2 linked regions of the Oryzias latipes genome follow. The protein of the gene in region 1 purifies or fractionates together with the protein of each later gene. This does not show direct contact. Links are inferred from orthologs where the notes say so. Each region holds a gene or a part of one and is shown in the gene's direction. Other genes may lie near its edges. The genes, in order: mrgbp and ing3.

What was found.
Region 2: the proteins of mrgbp (region 1) and ing3 purify together in Homo sapiens (co-immunoprecipitation; 4 studies listed by BioGRID and IntAct, counting the BioPlex papers as one, with this or other methods). This does not show direct contact. The link is inferred for Oryzias latipes from reciprocal best matches to the Homo sapiens genes MRGBP and ING3.

Annotation. Positions count from the first base shown.
Region 1 is NC_019865.2:29,099,794-29,103,142, forward strand, and holds the end of mrgbp (MRG/MORF4L-binding protein), read left to right. Parts: intron 1-428; coding exon 429-503; intron 504-768; coding exon 769-998; 3' UTR 999-2,790; downstream 2,791-3,349.
Region 2 is NC_019881.2:24,133,220-24,137,491, forward strand, and holds the start of ing3 (inhibitor of growth protein 3), read left to right. Parts: upstream 1-1,197; 5' UTR 1,198-1,289; coding exon 1,290-1,317; exon of another isoform or gene 1,318-1,374; coding exon of another isoform or gene 1,375-1,375; intron 1,376-1,458; coding exon 1,459-1,530; intron 1,531-2,479; coding exon 2,480-2,580; intron 2,581-2,657; coding exon 2,658-2,723; intron 2,724-2,981; coding exon 2,982-3,078; intron 3,079-3,145; coding exon 3,146-3,217; intron 3,218-3,303; coding exon 3,304-3,420; intron 3,421-3,503; coding exon 3,504-3,667; intron 3,668-3,750; coding exon 3,751-3,938; intron 3,939-4,003; coding exon 4,004-4,193; intron 4,194-4,269; coding exon 4,270-4,272. UniProt on the Homo sapiens protein: Component of the NuA4 histone acetyltransferase (HAT) complex which is involved in transcriptional activation of select genes principally by acetylation of nucleosomal histones H4 and H2A.

The DNA of each region.
Region 1 (3,349 bases):
GAGGGAACGGAATAGTATTTTGTGGGAACGCAATAGTATCTTGTGGGAACGGAATAGTATTTCGTGCGAACGACATAATAACCTGTGGGAACAAGATATTAATCTGTGGGAACAAGATATATTTTTATATCTTAATGTCAGGACACAGGCTCCGTACTCCTCCTCCTGCTTTCACGCTGGTTCCTCAAACTCGGACAGAACTTTGAGATGAAGCAAATATTTCAGCCTTTTCAATGAACTTAGTTCTTACTTCCTGCCTCAGCTTCACTTAGCGGCACTCAGCCCTTTAGCACACGCTCAGATCAGAGGCTGGCAGGTGAGGAAACTGTCTCAGGGACGATCGTGGTCCGTTCGACGTTCTTCCTCCTTGTTGAACCTTCTGGGTTGTTCCTTGTGTGTGAGGAAGGTGTCTCCTCTTCTGTGTGCAGGGAAGCTGGGTTCAGAGGAGGACACCAAAGAGGAGTTCAGGATGGAGAGAGAGCCTCCAGCAACTCACGAAGAAGGTTTGTCTGCTGTCCTCCTCTTCCTCCCCCTGCTGTATGCTGAAACGGAGCTTCATTTGAAGCCCTCCGAGGATTTGAGCTCAGGCTTTTGCTTTGTCGGAAGAAGTTGTAATGATGGCTGGACTTACGCGACATTTTCTCTTCAGAGATGCGTTAGGCAGGTTGACCAGCTGTGTGGTCATGATGACATCACTTCCTGGGGGACTGAGAAGAGCACACTGACCATGGTTTATCCCAACTGTTTGCCTTTTGTGTCTCATCTCAGGGAGTAACTCCTCCATTAAGATGCCAGAGCGAACGAGCAGCAGCCGGGACAAAGAGAGGGAGCGGGACAAGGAGAAGGCGGGGAGTGAAGGAGGGGCAACAACGGCAGGAGGAGGAGGAGGAGGAGGGGCAAAAGAGGCAGAGAAGAGGAAGAGGAGCCGAGCGGCCGACAAGCTGTTGTCATCTTCCAACCCTGCAAGTCCAGGGGGAGCCAAGAGGAGGCGCACATGAGCACAGGAGGAGGCCAGGGGACTGACTTCCATGTCACACGACTGCTAAGTGTTTCTTTACGCTGAGGCTTCCCTGATTGGCTGCCGTGCATCTGTCACTCATCATGTGACCTCAGTGGGATGAAATGAAGCACAATAGTGATCCAGGCGCTGACCGTGGCGTGCAGAAAGTGAGGACTTACCTTTTGATTTTGTGGTAGTTTTGTGTTTAAATAAGGATGGTTTGTAGTGCGTGCCCTGGGTTTCGTCTGTCAGGCTAATGAAGCCTCTCTGGACTTGTAGATGAGTAGATGTGGGTCACTGCTGTGCAACACCCAGCTCTGTTACTGCAGATTATTTGTTTTGTTCAAGTGTCTAAAGCTACTGTGTGTAAAATTCCCAGCATGCATCTCAGCAGGACATGATCAGTTGCTGGGCTTCTCTTGAGCTGCGACCGAGAAGTGGAGAAGAGACTCAGAGGGTCAATCAAAGTGGTCCTGTTTGATCCCCCTGCCCCCTTCTCAGCAGGAGAGTCTGAGGAACGTTCTGGGCTACCGAAGCCTCAGCGCTGTTGTCTTTCAGATCTAACCATAACAGATCTATGAGGGGAAACACGGAGCTCGTCTGCAGAATAAAGCCATGCTCATTTCACTGTAAAGAAAACGTCTCATTGCTTTGAAAACAGACTGAAGTTGTCTGTTTCTGAATGGTGCATCTCCTGATCCAAACCAGTTCCTTGCCTTCCCAGCTCGTATGGCGGCATCTAGTGGCTCCACGCAGACTTTGAGCGTCTCTGCTTCTTCTTTGGGCAGCACCAAACAGCCTTTTAAGATCCGAGCTGCATAATCACAGCCGACTGTCTTCAGATCTCAGGTTTGGTCACGGCAAACAGATCTGCGGAGAAACGAGGATCGTGACCCATTCCGGGGTTGTAGGTGGTGCCTTAAGGACATCTGCTGCTGCAACACCATGTCAGAAGGACTGCTGCTCACACGAGCAGGAAAGACAACAAAGCTTAATAATGAATACTGACTGCATCCTTCAGTAAGCTAGTGTTTGTTTTAAGGGCTGCAGATTCTGTGAAGGACGTCTTGAACCGTTTTCTCCTCGCGCCTCAGCCTGCTTTAAAAACATCTGAGGCTTAAGAAGCTTCAGGTACCACAACCCTCCCAAAGAGAGGAATGAACCAAGGTTTAAAGACGAGAAATAGCAGTTATGCTCATATATTTATATGTTTCAGGCCCATCAGTAAAAATGGCATTCCAAAGTGGGTCTATCTGAATTGGAGGAGCAACAAAAGAGATGAAGAAAGCTGATAATCAGTGTGAGGGCTGTGGGTTGAGGAGAAAACCCTTTAGAGGTCCTGCAGCCGTTTGTCCACCTCCAGCATTAAAGGGAAGCTTCTGGAAAATGATGGTTGAGAAATCCCCGACCACCTGCGCTTCATTCTTTCTGTCTGCTTTGGTTTGCAGCCGTTTGTCTGCCAAAGCTGTCGTTTTCATTTAAAGCAGAGTCCCCGAGTCCGCTGCATCATTTCCGTGCAAAGCGCTCGTCTGGTCAGGTTTGGTTCCGACACCAGAGACCCAGACTCGGCCCGCGGCGAAGCCTGACCCGCTGCGTTTGACAGCCAACACTCCTGACACGTTCTGGTCCGACTGACTGCAGTAAACTGGATGCTGAACTGGTCCCTGTGTTCATGAAGGGCAGGTTTAGTTTGGCTTGACTTCCTCTTGTTCCCTTTCAATGTATTCCTTGACATTGTAGGATACTGATGGTGATGTTTGTGACATTAAATGTGAACTTTTTCAACTGAACTGAGTTTTTGAGACATTAGTAAAACAGGAGAGAATTTGGGAGAAACTCAGGATCGTGGACACAAATCCAGCAAACGTCCTGCTAAAGTTAGGATCGTTGGTACTTTAATGCTTTCCACCTGTATATAGACTTAACCCTTGTGCTATCTTGTGGGGTCCAGATGACCCTGCTCCCAACGTTGACGTGCCTCGGAGGCACGTTTCACTTCCAGAACTAGCAGCTGAAGCACGGAGGTGGATGCATCATGCTTATTTACGTTCAGAACAGAAAGACGATAGAAAAAAAAAAATAAGCCCAAAACCACCAGTAAAGGCATACATTTCTACAACGTTAATGGTATTCCGGGTGTCCTAAGCAGATTTATTATTATTATTAGAAACAGTGTGCTCTTTAAGCTGCAGTTGAGCGTGGGATTTTTTTTTCAGCAGAGCAGAAGTTCCAGACACAACACGGCGTGTAAAAGGATGAACTTTGTCTGTTTCAAAAGATGCACAATTACCCAGATTCACAAGTATTTTATCATCAGTATTTGCAAATAGATAACAGCCTAACACAGCA
Region 2 (4,272 bases), on another chromosome or scaffold:
CAGCTACCTCGTAGCCAGACGTGTGGCGCAGAGTAAGAAAGCGTTCACCATAGCGGAGGAACTGGTTCTGCCTGCCGCTGTGGACATGTGCCGTGAGATGATTGGTGAGGCTGCAGCAAAGAAGCTCAAGACCATCCCGCTGTCGAATGACATTGTGAGTCACCATATTGCTGACAGGGCCTCAGACATTGAGCAGCAGCTTCTGGGGAGAATAAGACAGAGCCCCTTTTTCTCTTTGCAGCTGGACCAGTCGACTGACGTCACAAATGCTGCGCTGCTGTTGGTTTTTGTTCGCTACCGGTGGGATAGCTCTTTGCAAGAAGACATTCTGTTTTGTGGAGAATTTCCAACTCGAGCTACAGCTGAGGAATGTTTCCGCTGCATGGATAACTACTTCACTGAGAATGGCCTTGACTGGCAGAACGGTGTTGGAGTGTGCTGTGATGGCGCAGCGTCAATGACTGGCAGGCATCGCGGTGTCATCAAGCAGATACTTGATCTTGCGCCAGAAGCTAAATGGACCCATTGTTTTCTCCACCGTGAAAACCTTGCAGCAAAAAAAATGTCTCCAGAGTTCCATGAGGTGATGGATGTCACTGTGAAAACCATCAACTTCATTCAAAGTAATGCTGTGAACTCCAGATGTTTTGCTCAACTTTGTGAGGGCATGGAAGCAGATCATGTCCAAGGCAAGGCAAGGCAAGTTTATTTGTATAGCACAATTCGTACACAAAGTAATTCAAGGTGCTTCACAAAACAGAAAAATGCATTAAAATCACAATACATCATAGAAATAATCAACATAAAATTTACTTTAAAAGAAAAGGAAGAAAAAAAAAAGATTTAAAAAGAAAGGAAGGAAAGAAAGGTGCAGATAGGCAAAACATAGATCGGTGATTTCCTTATGAAGTGATTTTTGGTTTATAGCAGCGTTTCTGTCCTGATATTTTCATCACAGACAAACAGACCCGTTGCTTAAGGTCTCAGCAGCTAAATAATCTCAGGCCAAGCCCACCTTCTGTTTATAATATTAGCGAAAATCTTAAGTAAAACATCTTTATTTGGTGCAAAGTCCAAAAGTATGCAAGTTAAACTACTATTCCCATGATGCATTTCCTTTAACAACAGGAAAAACCGCGCCCTCATTGTTGAACCAATCCGAAAGCCGCGTACGTCACGCAGGCGCAGTCTGACCTCATTTTTTTTCCAGTGTTTTTGTCAGCGAGGCAGCGCCATATTGGAAGAAGCCGTTTCTGTCCTAAAACGGCCAAAGCGCGAACTTTGCCACCATGCTGTACCTAGAAGATTACCTTGAGAGTGAGTACCGGACCGGGGCGTCGCGGCGGTACCGACTTCGGCCCGTTATGTGTGCACAGTGTGTGTCTATGTGTGGCCGCCGCGTGCATTTCCGTTAGCCTAGCTGCAGCGGATGCTAACGTGTTTTTCCTTTTCCGGCAGTGATCGAGCAGCTTCCCATGGACCTCCGCGATAGGTTCACGGAAATGCGGGAGATGGACCTGCAGGTGCAGAGTACGTATTTCCGCCAACCACCGGGCTCGGCTGGGACATCTGCCGCGGCACGGAGACTCGAACCGCCAGCGAGCGGTTAAAAAAGGCCAGATTACCGGAGCTAACACACCTGACATGTCCGTGAACCCGGTGACACCTCAGTCACGTCAACGGAACTTATCAACCTTTCAGCTCGTTTAATAATTCACTAAGTGAGGTTTTGTAGAGCTGCGTGCGCCACTTTACGCATATGTGGCTGAGATTCTGAAGCCCCTCCCCTTTTTGTCAGGCGGTCATGGTGATCAAAGCACATCCCTTCATTATCCGCCGCCTTTCATGTTGACGTCATGACCGCAGCTGCTGTTCAAACTTTTATCACATCAGTATTTGTTAGTTGAGGCACATTCAGTCACTCATTTATCGTTATCCTGATATCAAGCTGTGATAAATGTAACTTTAAATGTGCTCAAACAATCTTATGGCAGCTTGAAGGATTTAAGGAATCACATAAATCCATTAATGCATTTGACCAACCAGATGGAGCCCTTTGATGTAGGGGGGGGGGGGGGGGCATTCGGAGTGTAATTTAACGTACACTTTAAATTTAATTGAAGCTGTTGCAGTGAAATGGAAATGATCTATTTAGATAGTTTGCTATATGCATCACAACTTATATGGTCATTGCAATATTCATCAGTAATGTTGGAAATGGCGAGTTTTGCTCATCTCGTGCAGCCCTAGTTCAGTTGTAAAGTCCTCCAGGGTCATCTGTGACCCCTAGCTGTTGGAGGGTCAGAGTTAGGTGGACTGACCCCCCCCCCCCCAGTCTCAGATCTGACCTCTGATGCAGTTGCAGGTGGAAGAACTTTGGAGACAGTAAGAGAGTTCTTCTAGGTTCCTGTCTGATCCAGAACCAGCACCAGAAAGCTGATGTCATGTGCTTTAGTTCTTTCCCGCCTCTTTGTTTCAGACGCCACAGACCAGCTGGAGCAGAGGGTCATTGATTTCTTCATCAATGCAAAGAAGAACAAACCTGAGTGGAGAGAGGAGCAAATGGAGGTTATCAAGAAGGTCTGGAATCTGCTGCTGGTTCTGGAGGAACCCGAAGGAACCTGTCAGATCTAGATTCTGTTTCTGGTGTGTTTCAGGATTATTACAAGGCCCTGGAGGACGCAGATGAGAAAGTACAGCTGGCCAATCAGATTTATGATCTGGTGAGTGGAACCGTCTGCCGCTCTGACCGGATGGTCTCTGACCTCCTGCACAGTGACGGTCCAGCTGGGTTTGCCGGATCGCCTGGAGGTTCCACCGTAGCAGGACGGAGTTCCCTGACAGTTTTGTCTGTCCCTAACACCACTGGGGAGGAGCTTTCCTCCCTCATCACCAACAGACGCCCCGCAGCAGCTGGACCGGGTCTACCTGCTGCACCGCGTCCAGAAGCTCATGTGACCTGTTGTCTCCTCTGCCTCCAGGTGGACCGGCACCTGCGGAAACTGGACCAGGAGCTGGCCAAGTTCAAAATGGAGCTGGAGGCAGACAATGCCGGCATCACAGAGATCCTGGAGAGACGTGAGTTCGATTCCAGAGCGACTCGTTGGGGCTGAAAGGCAGAGCGGTGACCTTGTGCTCTTCTCAGGGTCACTGGAGATGGACAGTCCCTCCCAGCCGGTCAACAACCATCACATGCACTCGCACATAACAGCCGAGAGTAAGCTGCTGCACGCCCTCAGCTCCGCCTCGTGATGTCAGGACCTCTGCAGCAGGTTCACGTGTCACCGTGTCCTCTGTCCACAGAGAGGAAGTGCAGCGCCCCCGCCCACCACACGGTGGAGCACATTCCTGAGAAGAAGTTCAAGTCTGAGGCTCTGCTGTCTACACTCACCTCGGATCCGTCCAAGGAGAACACGCCAGGTAGCATCTGCAGATAACAGCCATGCAGCTGGAGGGCGGAGCCTCCACGCAGCTAACTGCCCCCCCCCCCTCCTGCCCCCTAGGTTGCCGCACCAACAGCATGTCTGCATCCACCAACAGCGCCTACAGCCTCAACTCCTCTCAGCCCCTGGCTTCCTACAACCTGAGCGCTCTGCCCGCAGGACCCGGGGCCGGCGCCGGCGCCATCACCTTGGCGGCGGCGCAGGCCGTACAGGCCACAGCCCAGGTCAGAACCCGACCCCCATCCTAAAATCGTGCATGTCGGCCCCGCTGGTGGCGCTCCATCCCCCGTCTGTTCCGTCCCATCAGATGAAGGAAGGCCGCCGGACCTCCAGCCTCAAAGCCAGCTACGAGGCCATCAAGAACAACGACTTCCAGCTGGGCCGAGAGTTCTCCGTGTCCCGGGACGGCTCCTACTCCTCCTCCGCCCTGGCCTCCACCCTCACCCAGACGCTCACTCCCAGCACCACCTCTGACTCCAGAGGTCGGAAGTCAAAGTAAGTTACCCCCGTCCCACCGCAGGTGTCTCGGACCCGTCTGACCTCTAGTCCCTGTTTTCCAGGAGCAACATCAAGTCTTCCAGTCACCAGTCCTCCTCTTCCTCCTCCTCCTCCCTGTCCTCCTGCTCCTCCTCCTCGGCACTGGCTCAGGAGCTCTCTCAGCAGGCGTCGGCGCTGCCGGAAGCTGAGGCTAACAGCCAAGTGGACTGGACCTACGACCCCAACGAGCCCCGGTACTGCATCTGCAACCAGGTATGCCCGCTACCGCGCTGTGAGGTCACTTCCTGTAGGTTCCGCTGTTAACTGCTTCCTGTTGGATCTCGTCCAGGTG